Elephas maximus indicus: one gene and its partner. The protein of the gene in region 1 purifies or fractionates together with the protein of each later gene. This does not show direct contact. Links are inferred from orthologs where the notes say so. Each region holds a gene or a part of one and is shown in the gene's direction. Other genes may lie near its edges.

Region 1 (10,290 bases):
ATTAGAGAAAGTGGCTTTAGACCTTGGCCAAGTGGTTTTGCTGCTACTTTATCTGAGCATTATGCAGACTTGCCCATCTGGTCTCAGGAAACACTGGGTGTCTTAGTTAACCTAGTGGTGCTATAACAAATACTGTAAGTGAATGGCTTAATAAAGAGAAACTTATTCTTTCACAGCCTAGGAGTCCAAATTCAGGGTGCCAGCTCCAGGGGAAGGCTTTGTTGGCTCTGGGGGAAGGTCCTTGTCATCAATCTTCCCCTGGTCTAGGAGCTTCTCAGCACAAGGACCCCAGGTCCAAAGGATGCACCCCCCTCCTGGTCCTTCATTCTTGGTGGTAGCAGGTCCTTCTCCTCTCTGCTTGCTTCTCTCTTTTGTATCTCAAAAGAGACTGACTGAAGATACAACCTAATCCTGTAGATTGAGTCCTGCCTCATTAACATAATTGACTCTAATCCTCCCTCATTAACATCATAAAGATTAGATTTACAACACATAGAATAATCCCATCAGATCACAAAATGGACAACTACACAATCCTGGGAATCATGGCCTAGCCAAACTGACACATTTTTGGGGGACACAATTCAATTCATGACACTGGGCAAACCCAGCCTTCTCCTCTGGGGTGGCACACAGCCGGCCAGAGCCCAGACATGCTGTGGCCAGGCTGGCTCCAAGGGGAAGGAAAGCTGGAGGGCTGAGTCACTGTCCCCATCCAATCAGGTATGTCATTCCTCCACCTCTAGAGTGGCTGGAGAGAGGCCAGAGACCCCAATGGAAGTTCCTTCACATAGAAACATGAACAGTGGGGAATGAGTGTTCCCACTGAACACTTTAAAAGCCCCTTCATTCTATTACAAGGAGCCCTGGTGGTGCAGTGGTTAAGTGATCAGCTGCTAACCGAATGGTCTGTGGTTCAAACCCACCATCTGCTCTGCGAGAAAAAGATCTGGCAGTCTCCTGTAAAGATTACAGCCTTGGAAACCCTATAGGGCAATTCTACTCTGTCCTATAGAGTCAGTATGAGTCGAAGTCGACTCAATGGCAACAGGTTCATTCTACTATAAATAACAGCATCATCTATCTGGAAATTCTGACAGGAATTCAGGTTTCAGTCTTTAAAAACCCTGGAGTTTTCCAAGTTATTGCAGATTGGCTTCCTTAGCTTCTCAGGTTCCATTTGGTGGTTGCATATGGCCAACCCCATCCCTCAGTCCGTGAGCCTGTGTTCAACAGTGTGGCAACTATGCAGTCATATCGTGGAGGAAAACAAGCAAGCAGAATCATGGGAAAGAAAAAAAACCCCATTAATAGATGAATGGATAGACAAACTATGGTACATGCACATGATGGAATACTATGCAATGATAAAGAACAAAGATGAATCTGTGAAGCATCTCACAACATGGATGAATCTCGAGGGCATCATACTGAGTGAAATAAGTCAGTCACAAAAGGACAAATATTGAATGAGACCATTATTATAAAAACTCACGAAAAAGTTTACACACAAAGAGAAAAAATCTTTGATGGTTATGAGAGAGGGGAGGAGTGGGGATGGAAAAACACTAAATAGACAATAGGTAAGTGGTAACTTTGTGAAGGGTAAGACAGTACACAATACTGGGGAAGCCAGCACAACTTGTCCAAGGCAAGGTCATGGAAGCACCATAGGCATATTCAAAGTCCTGAGGGACCAAATTATGGGGCTGAGTGCTGGGGACCATGGTCTGGGGGGACATCTAGCTCAATTGGCATCATAGTTTATAAAGAAAATGTTCTACATTCTACTTTGGTGTGTAGCGTCTGGGGTCTTAAAAGCTTGTGAATGGCTATCTAAGATACTCCACTGGTCTCAGCCCATCTGGAGCTAGGGAGAACAAAGAAAACCAAAGACACAAGGGAAAGGTTAGTCCAAATGACTAGTGGACTGCAAGTACTACAGCCTCCACCAGACTGAGTCCAGCACAATTAGATGGTGCCCAGCTACCACTGACTGCTTTGACAGGGATCACAATAGAGGGTCCGGGACAGAGCTGGAGAAAAATGTAGAACAAAATTCTAATGCACACACACAAAAGATCAGACTTACTGGTATGACAGAGACTGCAGAAACCCCGAGAGTACGGCCCTTGTACACCCTGTTAGCTCAATAATGAAGTCCCTCCTGAGGTTCGCCCTTCAGCCAAAGATTGTAGACAGGCCCACAAAACAAAACGAGACTAAATGGGCACATCAGCCCAGGAGCAAGGATGAGAAGGCAAGAAGGGACAGGAAAGCTGGTGATAGGGAAGCCAAAGTCAAGAAGGGGAGAGTATTGACATGTCACGGGGTTGGCAACCAACGTTACAAAACAGTATGTGTACTAATTGTTTAATGAGAAGCTAGTTTGTTCTGTAAATCTTCATCTAAAGTACAATGAAAAAATTACAGCCTGGAAAATCCTACCAGGCAGTTCTACTCCGTCTCGTGGGGCTACTCCAAGGCACCTAACAACAAGAATATTGGGGAAACTACAGCTGAGTCAGATGGGTCTTAAAGAATACTGGCAAGGTCTAGAAGAACGCTTCCCATTACAAAAGGCTTTGTGCAGCGACTAGGAACAGAGAATGACTGAAGTCAGGCCCAGAGGAGATGTCAACAGAGAAACAAACAAACAAAAAACCAAGCCCGTTGCCTCCGGTTGATTCCGACTCACAGCGACCCGACAGAGAGAGAATAAATAGGGTGAGGTCAAACCACCTTAGTTTGGTTGGAGAGAAAGGCTAGATTGCTTCCAAGAGGGAAAGCCCGGGATGGATTTCCCAGCAGCGCGACCCTGGAGCCAGAGTCGGTATATAGTTGGAGAAGATCGAGGATACAAAAAAACAAAAAACAAACCCGTTTCCGTCCAGTCCATTTCGACTCATAACGACCCTATGTGACAGAGCTGACGAATTTCCAAAGGAGAAGAGAAAACCCGGGGCAGCATTCCTATTGGACTCTAGAATGGAATCGTAGAGAAATTGGCTCCTGGGTGTGCCCTGGTGGTGTAAAAGTGGTTAAGCGCTGGGCTCCTAACAGAAAGGTCATCGGTTCAAACCCACCAGCCGCTCCGCGGGATAAAGATGTGGCAGTCGGGTTCAGTCAAGGTCACAGCCTTGGAAACCCTTTGGGGCAGGTCTACTCTGTCTGATAGGGTCGGCAAGAGCCGGAACTGACTGAACGGCGGTGGGTTGGGTTTGGTTTTGCTGCAGTGGCGCCTGCGCACCGGGCCGCCTGGGTTTATCCGGGGAGAGACCGTTGGCAGAAACTGGCGCAAGCGGGGCTGTGACAGCAGCGGCATTCCGGGCGGGCGGGGCGGGGAACGCCTGGGCCCGACACGCATGCGCACTACGGGGCGCGGCCGCGGCGCACCTGCGCACGGAGAAGCCGCGGGAGGGCGGGGCCTGTAGCGTTCTCGGCGCTCGGGGGATTGTGGGATAGTGGTGGAGAGCGGCTGGGCGTCGGAGTAGCCGGAGTGCGGACGCCCCGGACCTCCGCTGGTTTGGGGAAAGGAGGGTTGAGGAAGTGGGCCTCGGCTTCCGTCGGTGGCCGCTCCGCACTGCGTTCGGGCCACAGAGGAGGACATCTTCCCCGCCTGCCCTCTGCTTTTCCACGGGGTGCAGGGCTGAGGAAACCGGGGCGACGTCCCGTTCCCTCGCTCAGACTTCTCAGCCCAGCTCGCTGCCCGCGGCTTCAGTCGTCGAACCCCGGAGGTGCCTGCGCGGGTCCCGTGACCTCCCCACCCAACGAACCCCGCGCTTACCCCCGAACTCAGCGGAGCTAGGCACGCGGGGCCCCCCATTGATCAGAGGGCGCGTGCGCGCCGCGCAAACCCCCGACTGAAGCGCCTGCGCACCGAGCGCCCCGCGAGACCACTGCGTCGCCCCCCGCCCCCACTTACCGGGTCCCTGAGCAGGGGCCGGAGCCGCCTGCAGCGGGGCGGGGGGGGCGCCCCGATGAGCCCCGAGTGCGAGGAGCCGCCGCCCCCCCGAGCAGGTGAGCCGGCCGGATCCCGGGACCCTTCCCCGGAGTCCAGGCCTCCCGAGTCTCCGCTCCCCCCGCCCCGGGCCCTCTAGAGCCTTACCAAAGTACCCCTCGGGGCTCCCCAGTCTCTTCCCTGTCCGGGCCACCCCCCATCTTTCTCCTCGGGCCTCTTCCGTTCCTTCTTTGGGCTTCCCCCTAGTCTGTGTCACCTCAGCGTCCACCGTCTCGCCTAAAGTCTCCATTTCTTTTCTTTGGCCTATTCCCAGCCCACCTCCCTCTTCCCACTCGGCCTCCCCAGTCTGTTAGTCTCTTCCCCTGTGGTTCACCGCCAGACCACTATCTTTTTATTCTTTTTCGGATTCATTCCCCTCCTCTTCTTTTCTCACCCACCCACCCACCACCTTCTTTCCCTCTCAGACTCACCCCCCCCATCTTTTCTCCGTCCAGCTCATCCCCAGCTTACCTCTTCCTTCCCCCTAGGTCCCTCCAGTCTCATAGTCCCTCCCTGCTCTGCTTCATTGCCACTCTGTCACCTCCTTCCTCCCTCAGATTCACCTATCCCCCAGTCTCTTCTTCCTCTCTCCCATCCCCCCAGTCTCTTAGTCTCTTTCTTCCTCACCTCATCCCCTTCTTCCCTCTCGTACTCATTCCCCCTGCCCCAGTCACTTGCCCCTCCAACCCACCCCCTTCCACCATACCTACTCCTCTCTGGGACTCACCCCCGCTCCCAGTCTCTTCCCCCTTGAGCCTGCCCCCCTCAGTAGTCTGTCTCCTCAGGCACCCCCATCTCTTACTACTGAGACTCTTCTCTCTTGCCCCCATTCTTTTGCGTCATGCCTTTGCCCTCCTTCCTGCCTTCCTGGATTCACTGGTCCCTGTTCATTCTGATCCTTGGGCTCAGGACATAAAGTAGTGGCGCTTTCCCTTTACCCTGGCTGTGGGTCCCCCGTACCTGGTGGTCTTTGGCTTCTGGTTGTGAGGAGGGATCTGGGAGCCCGCGTTCTCTGGGGCGGGTCCTGTTTTTGAGAGGAGGCCTGTTTCTGAGGGCAGGGTGGGGTACTGGTGCTGGACCCAGAGAGGGGACGCTGCCCTGAAGGAGGGATGGGTCCCTGGGGAGACAAAGGCAGAGCTGGGCAGTCACAATTACTGTGTGTGGTGATAGAGGTAACTCAGGGCACCACTGCGGGAGCCCAGGGAGGGGCAGGGACTGGCAGGACTGGCCAAGCCAGTGGCTTTTCTGTCGAGGAAGGTTGAGTGGGAGTTGACAGATGGAGAGTGGGAAGAAGGGCATTCCGGGTGGAAGGAACAACCAGTGCAGATACGTGAAGGTGGGGGTGTTGGAGGGTCTGAGAGAGGGTATATGTTGGGGGGAGTGGGCAAAACACCTAGAGCTGGAGCTGGTTACCTTGGAGGTGGTGTTCTGGCGAGGGTCCTTCCTGCTCCTTCCTGTACCATGTACACACACACCCCTGTTTGAGGACACAGGCGTTACCATTTACACCAGCCTGGAAAGCAAGATGTTTCTGGAAAGGAAGGTGTGTTGTCAGATGTGGGACTTGGTTAGAGCTTAGCAAAACTGCAGCAGGGTTGCAGCCAACTTGAGGAAGAGGTTCCACCTCGGCTCTCACAAGGTGACAATGGCAGTGACTCAGAATTATCTGGAGAATACAGCGTGTGTGGTTTGTGTACATATCCTGTATGCTAACATGTACGTGTAGAAACGGCCACCACACCCTGGGACACGCACTTACCACGTGGAATGGCAGTTGGTTTTACTTGCTCTATTTAAAATGTTATTTTCTCTGTTCTCTTTCTTTTTTAAAGCTTTTTTCTACTGCAGCATCATTTTGTGTAAATTAAATGAGACCACGTGACTTGTTTTCTGGAGTTTTACACCACATTTGGGAGGCAGTGAAGGCTAATAGTTTAGAGTGAGCTCTTTTGTTGGACAGACCTAGGTTCAAGTTCTGGCTGTCCCACTTGCTAGTGGGGTGACTGTGGACATGCTGATCAGAAGCTCTGTGCCTTCTCTTCCTCATCTGTAGAGTGGGGACAAAGTGCCCTCCTCATGGGGTTGTTCCAGGGGTTAAGCTTGACGTATGTAGAAGCTCATAGCAGAATGCAAGGTAAAGAAGCTGCTCCAGGATCAGTTGCTCCTGTGATTATTATATCTGGCTTGGGATCATCTATTGCAGCATTTCTCAGCTGGGGGTGATTGTGCCCCAGGGTACACTTGGCCACATCTGGAGACATTTTTGATTGTCACAACTAGGGGGAGGGTGCTACTGGCCTCTACCGGGTCAAGGTCAGGGATGTTGCTAAACATCTTAGGATGGACAGGATAGCTCTGCATGACAGAGGATTGTTGTTAGTTGCTGTTCAGTTGACTCCAACTCATGGCGACCCCATGTACAAAAGAATGAAATGTTGCCCAGCCTTATGTCATCTTCATGATCTTGGCATGTTTGAGTCCATAGTTGTGGCCAATGTGTGTTTTGAGTGCCTTCCAACCTAGGGGGCTCATCTTCCAGCTCCGTATTGGACAGGATTCTGTTGTGATCCATAGGGATTTCGTTGGCTACTTTTCAGACATAGATCACCAGGCCTTTCTTCCTAGTCTTAGCCTGAACGCTCCACTGAAACCTGTACATTATGGGTGACCCTGCCGGTATTTGAAATACCAGTGGCGTAGCTTCCAGCATCTTAGCAACATGCAGGCCACTGCACTACGACAAGCTGACAGACAGGTGGTGGGAGGCAAAGAATCAACCAGCCCAAAATGTTAACAGCGCCAAGGTGGGGAAGCCATAATTTCTTGTTTGGGTGTAGTTGGGCTTATCTACTTTTTTGCTACCTGTCAGTGGCTGTGTGGCTCTGTGCATCATCATGTGTTTGGATTTACCTTTCTTTTTTTCGGTAGTTAGCCTCTGTTGGCCCAGCTACTGTTGCTTTCCGTTTGAGGTATATCTACTCCCCCTCGTCCTCCACCCCTCAGATTTTTTTATTCAGGCTCTCTGGTCAAGTGACCTCAGCAGATCATCTTCCCCCGCTGATGTTGATTTTGTTTTTGTCGTTGGTTTGTGACTTAGGAGAACCCTATGTGTTACAGAGTAGAAACTGCCCCGAAGGGTTTCTTGGCTGTAATCTTTATTAAAGCAGATTGCTAGGCCTGTTTCTTACACAGTACCTACTGGGTGGGTTCAAACTGCCAACCCAGCTGTGTGCACCACCCAGGGACCTTCACCCTCCCCCTCTGGACTTTAGCCTTTGCTAATTTAGCAAGTGCCCTGAGCTCTTCTCTGGGCCTGGCCTTGCTCTGGGTCCTGGGGAACCAGCCCCTTCAAGGGCGTACGGATGACTAAACAGGCAAATTGCATCACTGAGCACCCCGGTGCTGGCTGAGGGGTGGCCATAGACACAGGCCCCCAGTGATATCGTGGGGGGCGCGGTGGCTTCCTGGAGGAGGTGCCTGGTCAGAGAACTAGAGGAGAGGCAGAGGGAGCTGCACGTGCAGGGCAGAGAGGAAGGGATGCGTGCGGCTGAATTTTGAGAGCCATGTGGGTTGCAGCAAGAGAGAGGTGAGAGGCTTGGAGGCTCCAGTGGGTTGCCTTCCCCAACTGCCTGGCACATGGCTTGTTGGCTGGGGGGCATAATCCCCTTCCCACCCCAAACCAAGTGTCTTCCTTTGAGCACCAGCTTTGTGGGTCCTTCGCTGGGAAGTGCTGCCTGATGGTAGCCCTGTGAGGGGTTTCATAGATGGGGAGACAGAGGCCAGTGGTGCTCTGCCACCTGTTGTAGATTGAGTTTGGGCAGGTGAGATTTGCCGCACCCAGACCTTCCTGACTTAACTGCCCTGGAGGCTCCTGAGGCTGTAGCACTCTGCCCGCTCTGCTTTTCCAAGGGCTCTCCGTCTTAGAGTATATTCTTTGATCTTGTCTTTTTTCCAAACCTGTGGCCAATGCAAGAGATGAGTCCAGAATGTGAACATTGGAATCCCCCCTACCAGTTCTCAGCAGTTGCTTCTGTCTCCCAATTTCTTCATCCCCTGGGGTCAGGCAGAGCTGGCACCTCCGCTGGGAAGGTGTGATCCAGAAGGCATAGGGGAGGTACCCCCTAACGGGGAATGACCCCCGTCCCCAGGCTTTCTAAAGCCTCAAGGCTCCCAGCCCCAGCCTGGTCTCAGCTTGTCATTCTGTGTAACCTTGGCCAGGTCCTTTTGCTCCTCTGGCCTCAGTGACCCCTTTTCATTAGTGGCTGTCCCCGATGCCTACCTTGCCAGGGTGGTGGCAGCCCTATGGGCCCTAACTTGGAAGTTGCTGGGGTCGTTGTTCCATCCCATGGGAAGCCCCTTCCAGTCCTGGCATTGGCATCGGGTGACCTGACCTCCCCTCAGACCCTGGGTGCTGGCTGGGTGAGGGGGAAGTTGGCGGGAGGCTCTCCTGCCATCCTCTGAGCTGCCCTGCTGCCGCCGGGCCCTTTAAGGGGCTGGGCCCAGGCTGCCGTCCGCTGCAAGCAGGTTCTCTTCCCCGCACTTGGACTTGCCCAGCCAGTTTCTAATTAGAGCGGCAGCCCGTGGGCCTGTCATCTCTGCAGTGGAGGCGGATCAGTGGCCTGCGGTGCCCTCTCCTGAGGCCCAAACTGGCCTTCTCTGCCCTCTGATCCCGCTTGCCGAGGCATAGGGCCCTTCAGGTGGCCTGTCCTGGGAGGCCCTCCCAGCGGCCCCTGGGCCCTTCACCCCCACTTCCGGGTGCCTTGGGGCCAGGGCAGGAAAGACGGGTGGTGGGGAAGAATCGGCTGGGTTCCCTGGCAGCCAGAGCTGTGTTTGGACTACAGCAGCCAGCGGGACGGCTCTTTGGGAGCTGTAGCTAGGCCCTGCCTGAGCCTGGGGCAGGGCCTGCAGGCTCCAGAGAAGGAAGGCAGCTGGTGTTGAAGGCCTCAGGAAACAAAGCAGGAGGAGGAACGAGAGGTGATGGTGAGGACCTGGCAGAGGGAGAGTTACAGAGGTAGTTTTCGTTTTTCATGGCCTCCTTTCTCATTTATAAATCCCCCTTCTTCCGTTTACAGCCAGAGTCATGGTTTTCAAACGGTTGCTGAAAACCATTGGTAGTCACTTCCGCTTTCTAGAAGTTGCTGAAAGTTGCAAAGGATGGGGGTGGGGGTGCAGAGAAGTGTTTCAGTTGCTTAGTAAGAAGGGGAGCGTGCCCTTCTCCTCCTTGTCTGTTCGTAGCATGGCCAGCCTTGGGATAGTGACTGTCTCCTTCTCCTCCCACCCTTGCGGTGCAGTACTGGGAAGGATCGTGGTCTTAGAGACAGGCTGAGGAGGGGGCTGCCACAGGGACAAGACCACCAGCCTTACCTCATTGGTGCTCACTACAGCGCCTCCTGAGGCTAGGTGTCCCCATTGAACAGATGGGGGAAGTGAGGCTCAAAGATGGTCAGTGCTGGACCCAGGTTCCCCACCAGCTCTATGGAATTGGAAGGTGGGGGCTGAGAGTCAGGACTTGAGGCTGGAGTGGACTGAGAGTTTGTGGTGAGGAAAAGTGTTTCTTTTCTGTTTTCCTGTGTTTGTGTTTGCACTTCCACTCTGTTTAGAGCTTGAGAGCCAATGTTTGACCATGTGATCACGTTGAATCCTTCCAGCCACCTCATTTTCAGAGGGGCCACCTGAGGTTGAGAGGTTAAGGGCCTGGCTGGAGTTGTGCAGTGCCAGTTCAAGCCAGTCCCTGGATCCCAGACCCTATGCTTTCTCCCTCCTAGCACTGTACACTGCCTGCACACCCTGCTTTGTCTTGTGGCTCCCCACGCCTACTCCCACCTGTGCTTTCTGGAAAGCCAGGCTATGTAGGCAGGTGGGAAGGTGGAGTGAGGGCAAGAGGTTCGAGGTGGGGGCAGCAAGCTGTACCCGATAACCAGGAGCTTTAGAAATGAGCGTGAACACCCCCCCCCCAAAAAAAGAAGAAATGAAATGCGCGGGAACCTCAGCTGTGAGAATGTCTACCTAGTGTAAAGAGGCCAGGGCTAGGGATTTGGAACCATGCAGAATCCTGGCTCTGTGGGCCTCTACCCCCCGCCTGGCCCCTGCTTCCACATCTGTGAAATGGGATAATAGTAATGCCTTACCTTGCTGTCTTGACATGGAGACAAGATAAGGTGCTGGCAAGTGCCAGGTACAGGCACGTGGGTTCTCTCCAGGTATCATTTAGTCCTGTTTTTTGTCCCGTATCTCTGTGGAGGAGGGTGGCTTAGTTCAGGGATGAGGAGGGCTGACCTTGGATGTGCTCC
Region 2 (10,219 bases), on another chromosome or scaffold:
GAGCCTCCATCCTGAGATAGTGAGTTAACTAATTCAGCAACCATTTACAGGGGTCTGCTTATGGCTTTTACCTAGGCTAGAAAAATGTTTCTGATTTATTTACAAATGGGTGAACTATCTATACCACCGGTATAGAGTCAAAATATATGATTATATTGGGTTGAGCCCTTCGGAAGGAATCTGAGATGAGGCTTTGCAGAGGGAGAAGTTGAACTGTGATGCAGTTCCAGCACAGGCCTTGGCTCTGAAGCTAAGATGTCCCTTCGGAGATACTCTGAATTGAGGCAAGGTGACTGGCTGGGTCTTTGTACCACTGCACTCATTGCATATAAACAGGCCCCAGGGAGAGGTTGTAACCTTGGGTGATGTACTTTTTACTTTTGGCTGAAGGCAAAGCCTGGGGAAAGATTCAGCTTGAGTGGTTAGCAGGCAACTTTTCCAGCAGGGCTTTAGTGCCGAAGGTGGGAACTGGGTGACACACTACAATGCCTACTGCAGTGATATATGTTCATATGTTTTATATATATGTCATATATATATACTCATATACACACTCACATGTATCTATAGACATACATATACATGTAAGTGTGTATTTATAGTCATACAATTTAAAATAGGATAAATCAAGTAAATAAAATAACCACAGTGAAATGTGATATAATATATTGGATGGATTTATTCACATCATAGGCTATGATCACTACAATACATTGGTTCTCAGTACTGTCCCTTAGGGAATATTTTTGAAATTTGAGGGGGCATATTTGGAAACCCTGGTGGTGTAGTGGTTAAGAGCTAAGACTGCTAACCAAAAAAAGTTGACAGTTTAAATCCACCAGCTGCTCCCTGGAAACCCAGTGGGGCACTTCTACCCTGTCCCATAGGGTCACTATGAGTCAGAATCGACTTGACAGCAATAGGTTGTTTTTTTTTTAATGGGTTATGGCACACAAAAGAGCTAAAAGGTGCCATAGAAACCCCAGACATAGTCCTCCCTGCCCCCATTGTGTAGCAGCAAACCAATTTCCTTTTGGAAATTGGAACCAAGAACCCCAGCTAGAAAAGCAACCTCTTTTTTGCCTGTTGGTTCCATAGTATGAGAAGCCCAAAGTGACCAGATACCAGTCTCTACTTCTCAAAATTCAAGGAACCATAATTATAACCCCTGATAGAAAGAGTCCTCTATTGGAAAGTAGGATTCTCCACACTAGCAGAGCTCAAAGTTATGGGCACTGGAACCAAAAACTGTGCAGGTGCATTGTTAGGTGTAATGATGAGAAGAGCCCCTTCCACCACCACCTTCCTGACTCTTGGAGCTACATATTTTGGGAGGAACACTACTGTATATTGGTTGCTGACTCAAAGCATACATATATCCTATAACAGGGTACTCTAACCTTTTAGTATGTTATTCCCCAAGTGGCACCAGAACTCAGTCTTCAGTAGATCATTCCATCTTCCTACTAGGTCAGCTGCTTCTGCTGGTAGGGTATACAAGACCAGTAAATTCCATTTACGCGATTCCAGTGTTGCATTTCCTTTCCTGTGAAATGAATTACTTGGAAAGAAGCAATATTGTACAGAATATTATAACAGTAAATAAGCGATAACATAGTAAGTTCATTGGTGGTAGTACTGGCAGAAGCATTCTAGGCATAGAAGGCAAATCCCTATCCACAATACGTATTTATTCTCCCTCCGTGATGGAAAAACCAACCAATCAACCAAAAAAACCAATTGCCTTTGAGTTGATTCTGACTCATGGCAACCCCATATGTGGAAGGAGTCCAATACAATCAATCTGCTAACAGGTGCCTGGTTGGTCCCCACTGGAAATAGTGCCATATCAAGAGTGCAGGAACTGAAGAAATAACCGTCGAGTGGATTTGCAGACCTACTGGACCCACTGTCATTTAGACTTGGGTGAAAACTCCATTTATCACTGGAACACCAAAAGTCCCCAATTCGATTGGTGAACTCAATGGCATTTTGGATCCTCAGGAATCACCATTAATTCAGAAACAGTGTCTAGTAATCCCCAAAATATCTGGGTATTTCCTTTTCCCTAGTGCACAAGTTACCCTAGTGAATGACATCAGGTTCCCTTGGGAAAGGCTTGAATGAAGACTTGTAGTATGTATTTATGGCAGTACTGTAGGATTCTTTCTCAGGGACCAGCCCTCCTTTCAATTAAGGGGCACCATGCCTGTAAACTAGCTTAGGTATGGAAACTGGATGAGAAGGATGATTTTTCATTTTAATGGCTCAAGGCCAGCATACTCAGAGTTTGTTTTTTCAATAAAGATCAAGGAATATTTCAGAAGTCTGCCCACCTATTTTATTCCTAGGGCCACCTGGATCAATTAAAAAAAAAAAAATTTTTTTTTTTTTTTAGGTACTGTCAAATATACCTGTAGGTCAAGACCTTTGTTTATTACTTTTTTCCCTGCTGTCCACTACAGTAAATGTGTCCATGTTGCTTCTGCCAGTTAGGCACCGGTATCCCAGTATCCCACTGTCACAGATATCAGGAAGCCACCTCACTGGAAGCATCTCCTACCATCATATCCAGCTACTACAGAGCTTTTCTGGTGCTCTCTTCACTAATCTGTTTTTCAATGCCTTAGTGTAATTTTTAATTTTTTTAGTGTAAAGACTGTCATCTGGGCCCTCAAGGTGTATGTAGGTTGGGTTTGGGTGTGCAGGTTACACATGATAAAATCACTCCAACATTCTTATCTCGGTAAACTTTTGTATTTCTTTTTCCACATTATACCAGGGGCATTCTAGCATCTTGATCTCATTGAATGTAGACTACTGCAAGTTTCATTTAACCAACTGAGCAAACTGTTAGAGTCACATTCAAAGCACTAGTTAATATCTTAAATCCACACTTTCTGGTAAATGCACCCATATCAATAAATTTAACCCAATCCTTAACTCTTTATTTTGTTTGGAACTTGACCAAGAGTTGTTCAGCTTTTCAAAAGTCATGTCACCTATAACAACACCAATCTTGATGTTTGAGTTGCTAACACAACACATTCATATTGGTCAGCATTTGTAGTTATCTCATTCAAAATGGTTCTACATATGGGGGTGTTATGAACTGAATTGTGTTCCCCCAAAATGTGTATTGTAATTCCTAACCCCTATGCCTGTGGTTATAATCCCATTTGAGAATGGGTTGCCTTTGCTATGTTAATGAGGCAGCATTAGTATAGGTTATGTTTTCAGTCAATCTCTTTTTAGATATAAAAGAGATTAAACAAGCAAGAGAGAAGCAGAGATGGGGGAAAAGAGATGCCAAGCCACATGAAGATTACCCAGCAGCAGAAGCCAAAGAAACAAGGACCTTCCTTCAGAGCCAACAAAGAGAGAAAAACTTCACCTAGAGCCTGCACCCTGAATTTGGACTTCTGGCTTCCTAAACAGTGAAAAAATAAATTTCTGTTTGTTAAAGCCACCAATTTATGGTATTCTGTTATAGCGGCACTAGGAAACTAAGGGGCAAGCCATCTTCTACTTCATGTTATCTTCCATTAGAGTTGTGCTATAGAATTTACTTATGAAATACTTATTAATTTTAAATTACTTTCTATTTTCCCTTTGTTATTGATTTTTTTGTGATTTGAATAGGTAGGTTATATTGTCTATTAATTTCATTTCAAGATAGTAAGGGAGTATTAAATATACTAGTTACAAAAAAGGGGATGATGGGTCTGATAGGGTTGTGGACTGTTCCCTCCCCCTTTCAAATGAGGTCTCAAGAACTTGGGTAGATATGCCATGGTGAAGCAAAGAGGATCTTGGGAGCACTCTCCAAATTAAACCATTTGTTATTACTTTTCTGAAAGAAGGCTATATTTAAGTGGAAAATTCAGTGTCCTATTCAGTTTACTTACAAACCCATGCAAAATGGTATTAGTAAATAGATACACCAACACCAGTAGTTAAAAACTGCCTCACAGATGCAACCAAAGCAATCTATTTTGTATTTGAGAGAGGGCTTTGAGAGAAAAAGTACATTTTTCTTCATGCTTCCCTGATGATAGAGGAGTGAAAGCCAGGAGAATGCCTCCTTGGTTCCCGTTGTCTACATGATCTGAATCACAATTTTATCAGACTAGTAAGAGTACGTTTGTGACTTATCTGCTTAGCTAAACTGGGTGGTTGAATGATAAAGGAGAGGATGCTAAGTGAATGCTACCAGCTCACATCCTTCTCTCCTTTCTTACATGGAACCTTTGCGGAGGCTCTGAAAGTTGGGAGGAAGAACCCCAGAAGGCAGTATACACTTTCGGTTTGTGAATAAGCAGGATATCTTTGCTCATGACCCAGGAACTCTGTAGCTGTGTTTTGCTGTTTAATGCTTCCCTGCAGGTTTGCTCTGTGGCCTGTCAGGGGCACAAGGGGCTGCCTGGGAGCTGCCTCCTGCCTTCCTTGCTAACATACCTCCTCTCCTCTTCCAGATCTCAATTAATGTCACTTTCTCAGGGAAGCCTGGGTTTATGCATCACTTTGGTCTGATTCCTTTGTCATGGGTTCCTTTAGAAGCACTTGTTCCCTGTAATCCCTCATCTCAACTGGTAATTACATTCCTTAGCCTGACTATAGTCAGGCATCCTCCGAGACTAGGTATCTTGCCTATTTATGAATACCGACTCGACGGCAGTGCGTTTTTTTTGGGGGGGGGGGTACTTGGTAAAAGGTAGGCACCCAGTGCATAGTTGTTGAATAAATAAATGCTTGTCCAAATTCTACAAGTGTCAACATTAGCCATGATTATAAATATGACCGCTGCCTTTGTATCCCATGCTGCTTAACGTGTCTTCCACCTGTTGAAGAGCATGGTAACTTTGGATTTTGTGGAAATGCATGATCAGGACTGGTGGAAACATTAAAAATGAGGTAATTCACGATCTCTTCAGTTTCTCCAGTAAGGAGCCTCGGTGGTGCAGCGGTCAAAAGCGGCTGGCTGCTAACCGAAATGTCGATGGTGGAACCCACCAGTGCTCCAGTGGGAGAAAAACGTGGCCCTCGGCGTCCATAAAGATTTACAGCCTTGGAAACCCTGTGGGTCAGTTCTACTCTGTCCTGTAGGGTCCTGCTCCAGCTCCACCCTCCGGGTAAACCAAACCACAAATCAATAGCAAAACCCAGAGTGTTATAATGATTGTGTGTGTGTGTGTTTGTGTCTAGCTGGATTCTGGCTGGGGAACAAGGTGAAAATGTCAGAATCCCTGTACCTCGCCCCAAACCCAAATGTTTGTGAAACACGGCTCACTTACTTGCTAAAAAAAAAAAAAAAAAAAAACCCTGTATCAGGCCTCCGGGCATTAAACTAAGAGTATCTGAATTGTGGTGCCTGATTGAGGTGGGATAATTTTGAGGGCTGGTACAATCGGATTCCGGACTATAATGAGAGGTTTAAGGGAAGGGGGTGTGCCCCAGCCTCCCAGTTTAAAGTGGGTGGTTTGTGAGTGGCAGCCTTTCTTTGCCCCCTCGGGGTGTCCTCACAGGGGCTTGTTCATCAGGTTGTGTCCGTGTGTGTCTGTGCACATGAGTGAGATGGGGCTAGGGAGACGACGGTCAGCCCCGGGTCGCCACCTTTACCATGCGCGCCCTGGGGCCGCCGGGCGGCCTGACGGCCGGTGCCAAGCTCACCCATGTGCAGTGTGCGTAAAGCAGGAATCAGTCTGCCCTCGGCGGAGCGCGAGGTGCTGGCGCCAGCGAGCGCTGGGGGCCGTGGGCTGCGAGGCGCGGCTGCGGGCGGCAGGAGGCAGCGTCGGCCCAGCCGGCGCGGCCGCGAGCGAGCGAGGCAGCGCGCGGTGATGTCAGTGGCGGCCCGGCTGGCAGCAGCCGGCACTTCCTGTATAAAGGCGGGCGGGCGGGCGGGCTCGGCTGCAAACACCACTAGCCAGTGTCAGCCTCTCGGCGAGAGGAGGCGGTGGCGGAGGAGGAGCAGGGGGAGGGCTGTCAAATTCGGGAGCCAGATTTTTTTCCCTTCCCCTGGCAATCCCTTCCGCTTCCCCGGCTCCTGGCTTGACATCTCCGGACTGGGGACCTGTATGTGTGTGCGTGCGGAGGAGCGGAAGAATGGTAGTGCTCAAACTCACAGACCAGGTAGGGGGCGGCGGCCGGCGGCGGGACTCTCGGCGCGGGGCGGCGCGGAGCCCGGCGGGGGATGGGGGCGGCGCGGAGCGAGCCCGCGAGCTGTTTACTCCGGGCCAAGGGGAGGAGTGTGTGCGGCTGGCGGGCTGCCTCTGAACCCCGCGGCGGCCGCTCTCCTGCCCGGAGCTGCTCCCCGCCCTGGGCCGTCGGAACTGCACGCCCCGCTCAGCACCCTTAGCACCGCGGCGTGCCGCAAGGCTGAGGGGGCACCCTGCTGGGCGCAGCCTGGGCGCGGGTGCGCGGGCTTGTGTGGGTCTGCGTGTGTGGTACGCGGGCCCAGGCTGAGGAAGAGGGGGAGGGGAGGCTGGAGGTACTCCTCCGACTCCACCGGGCTGCGCAGCCGAGGTCCACGCCGCCGGGAGGAGGACTGTGGGGTCAGAGGGAGAAAGGTCCGCAGTCTGGAACCCCTCCCCAAGGCAACCCGGAGACCGGCCCAGCCCACGTCTCTTGTGTGATCGGGCTGTCTATCCGTTTGACATGCTATCCTGACTTCCTCTTTAGCTGGCCAGAGGCGGCGGGTGCATGTCCGATGGGGACCCTCGAAGAGGCGCTCTGGGCTCTGGTCCGTCTTTCCGGAGGAGAATGCGGTGCGGTCCGGCGGGGCCTCCACTTTCAAGTGGTGGGCTACCGTCTGCTTGTGCCCCCATCGGCTTTGTTGCTTTCCTCGCTAAGACTCAACACAGGGCAGTGCAGATCTGTGGTGTGGAGACACCTCACCTTTGTGGCCTCTGCTGCTCTTAGGAAATGGGCACTCACAGGCGCCCAATCAAGTTGCACGACAAAACTCCTTGCAGCTCCTTCCACGAAAAAAGGAAAAAGCTTGCCTCCCCGCCCCCCCCCCCCCCCATTTAGTGAGATAAACATTGTTTTGGTGTTCTGGTAGGTCAAGATGTAGTCTTGACTTGGACACGCTGTCAAACGGGCCAGCCCTTGGTATTACACATCTCAAACTTCTTGAGTGGGTTCCAGTGGCACCTATTCTGTCCCCTATTAGCATCCAGCCAGAGCAGTCTGGGACTTAAATGCTATCATTACCACGATGTTTTTGCAATGATTTGTTCTCGTCCTTTTAGATTTATATTTTTGGTTTGATTTCCCTAAATATTTATAGACTGTGTGGAGGGGGGAGGGGGGAGGTCACTGAATTAAAATCCGTGCTGTTGTTAAATTTGGTAGGAGGAGCCTAGTGATTTTGATGAGTTTACGTGTTCTCATTGGTTCCAGAGCATTTAAAAGTGTTTGTAAGTTGATATTAGGATTTCTCCCACCTTTTAGCCACATACTTAGCCAACTGTTAGACATTTGCTTGTTTTAAATCTTCCAATTTTAGTCTGCCTTGGTCCTGTCATCTTTGCTGGTCACCTACTTGTCTGTTAATCCTTAATCAGCAAGGTCCAAAAAAAAAAAAATGCTTCTAACAGTACATGAAAGAATTTTACTTAGGATTTTAGAGTTGTAAGGTATGCTAAAGACCTTCCTGCTCAAGTCCTTCAATTTTCAAATGAAGAAACTATTATCTGTAGAAATGAAGCATGCCTTACTCAGGGACCACAGCTGTTGACCTGTAGAGCTAGGATTAGCTCCGGTTGCCTTCCAGGTTCTTGTGCTTTCTGCTAGAGTTGGTAAGACACCTCTGGCTTTTCATTGGATGTGTTGTAAGGGTTACAAGAAGGCATCCTCTTCTAAATCAAGATGGACACTGCTGAAAAGTGTATTACTTGGTCTTAAAAAGAAAGGATGTTATTCTTCAGGACTTATCAGAAGTTCCTTAGGATTTCTAAAGATGTTTGTCTTTTAAAATGTCCTTTCCCGGCCCCCCCTCTATAAACTAGTGTAACTGTGGAAAGAAAGAGTACCAAAACGTTTATTTGGTTCCACCTCCTGATGCATAAAAAGAAGCTAAGACATTCTAAGATTTAAGATCATCTAAAAATTCCCTGCCTATCTTGGGACACAGCCAGGGGGGATTGGGTGGAAAGGCGTTCTGGGTGGAGTGGGGTGGGGTGGGGTGCTGAGCAACAGAGGTTTCTGTGTGGCTTCAGGTCCAGGAAGCATGTGGTCTTTCTTGCCTTATATAGTCTTACCTTTTCAGTTTGAAATTCTAAATTCTTAGAAGTCGGTTTTTAACCTCATTGGAGGCTTAAAAACTCTGTGCTTAAAAATCTGCGAGAAGAGTGGGTAGGGAGCAGCCTGCCTGGAATCCCTGCCTTAGAGTTTGTAGAGGGAGTGCACAGTTCTCCTTTTAGCTACTTGTACAAGAACTATTTTTTAAATTCCTCCCTCATTTGTTTTAACACCTTGATTTTTGTCCTGGCTCTTGCAGTTTTTTTTTTTTTTTGCTTGAGGACACATTTTTCCTGCCGATAACCTGAATTACAAGTTGTCTTTAAACATGCCCAAAGTAAGAGGCGGTCCTGTTCTGCTGAAGCTGGGTGCAGGAGCTTGTTGGGTGATGGTGATCTCCACTTCAGCAGTTAATTCTGCAGTGACCTCTCAATCACACAAGAGAAGGGAAAAATACCTTTTCCTGATTTGGTTTTTTTTTTTTTTTTAACGCTGGGAGAGTGAGAAGAAAGGGGAAAGGGAGAGGCAAGTGTGTGGCTTTTAGTCTTTTCTTACTATGAAAAGGAACTGGGAGCTATTGCTACAAACAAACAAGCTTGGCATTTAGCACTTCTGCATTTGTCTCTTCTGTTTTCCCCTTCACATGATGCACGTCATTTTTCTTGCAGCTTTAGGGTGACTAACTGCCCTGGTTTGCCCAGGACTGAGGGGTTTCCCAGGACAAGGGACTTTTCAGAGCTAAAACCAGGAAAGTTTCAGACAACCAGGATAAGTTGGTCACCTATGGAGCGTAGAATACATTTACCTATGGAATTAATATAATAATGTAATTATTCCCTCATAGATGGATGTTAGGAGATTTATTTATATCTTTGGTAAAGAGAGGTGATATTAAGGTTGAGAAAGAAGATTTTATTATGCACACATGATAATGTATAGTATAATTTTACATTTGTATAATATATAATTTTGGAAACCCTGGTGGCATAGTGGTTAAGTGCTACGGCTGCTAACCAAAGGGTCGGCAGTTCGAATCCACCAGGCACTCCTTGGAAACTCTATGGGGCAGTTCTACTCTGTCTTATGAGTCGGAAGCGACTCGACAGAGCTGGGTTTGGTTTGGTAATATATAATTTTACATTTGTATAATATATGTAATGGAGCCCTGGTCATGAAGTGTTAAGAGCTCAGGCTGTTAACTAGAAGGCTGGCAGTTTGAATCCACCCAGCAGCTCCTTGGAAACGCTATGGGGCACTTCTACTCTGTCCTATAGGTTCGCCATGAATCGGAATTGGCTTGATGGTACACAAAAACAACAAATATGTGTAATATAATATAAAATATATGATAAGATTTTATTATACAGATATGTATTTTGGCTTGAGATATCCATGAAACTCTTTGCAATTTGATTTGATACTGAACTTTTGTTGTTCTTTATGTCATATAGTTAAGACATTTCAGTGATTTTAATTGTGGTCATATCTTTGGCCTGGACCAAAAAAATTTTTTTTCGGAGTTATGAAGCTAGAATGGTGAGTTCTGGTGGACTTTTGAAATGTTCACTATTCTTATCTGAATTTTCAAATGACGGCAGAATACCACCTCCACTCTAAGGCTGCCTATAGACAAAATGTTTCAGCAGGTGGCCTTTTTTGTGGCTTCCTGCCTGGAAGCCTTCTGGTTTGGCATCCTCTTGCCAAGTCCTAGCTCAGCACTTGAGTCACCTACCTCCTTGCCAAAGGCAGTGACTGGCAGCCGTGGCAGTGGCAAAATACTAGAAACCCTTTAACTTTGAAAGTAGAACTTTTAGCCCACAGCGTAAGGCCTTGGGACATGTTACACATTTTATTGGACTGCTCTTGTCCTTCCATTGCTCCCTAAAGCACTGAACTTAAAGCAAACACTATTCTTCAGTCCTGCCTTCAGCAGAGAAGAAGGGAATAGAAAGGCCCTACTCTTTGGACCCTTTTCTGA

The links. The genes of interacting proteins can lie anywhere in the genome.
Region 2: the proteins of PPP6R1 (region 1) and ANKRD44 purify together in Homo sapiens (co-immunoprecipitation; 5 studies listed by BioGRID and IntAct, counting the BioPlex papers as one, with this or other methods). This does not show direct contact. The link is inferred for Elephas maximus indicus from reciprocal best matches to the Homo sapiens genes PPP6R1 and ANKRD44.

What each region holds. Positions count from the first base shown.
Region 1 is NC_064829.1:91,747,421-91,757,710, forward strand, and holds the start of PPP6R1 (serine/threonine-protein phosphatase 6 regulatory subunit 1), read left to right. Parts: upstream 1-6,160; 5' UTR 6,161-8,977; coding exon 8,978-8,980; exon of another isoform or gene 8,981-9,011; intron 9,012-10,290. UniProt on the Homo sapiens protein: Regulatory subunit of protein phosphatase 6 (PP6). May function as a scaffolding PP6 subunit. Involved in the PP6-mediated dephosphorylation of NFKBIE opposing its degradation in response to TNF-alpha.
Region 2 is NC_064824.1:95,696,523-95,706,741, reverse strand, and holds the start of ANKRD44 (serine/threonine-protein phosphatase 6 regulatory ankyrin repeat subunit B), read left to right. Parts: upstream 1-5,912; 5' UTR 5,913-6,102; coding exon 6,103-6,129; intron 6,130-8,184; exon of another isoform or gene 8,185-10,219. UniProt on the Homo sapiens protein: Putative regulatory subunit of protein phosphatase 6 (PP6) that may be involved in the recognition of phosphoprotein substrates.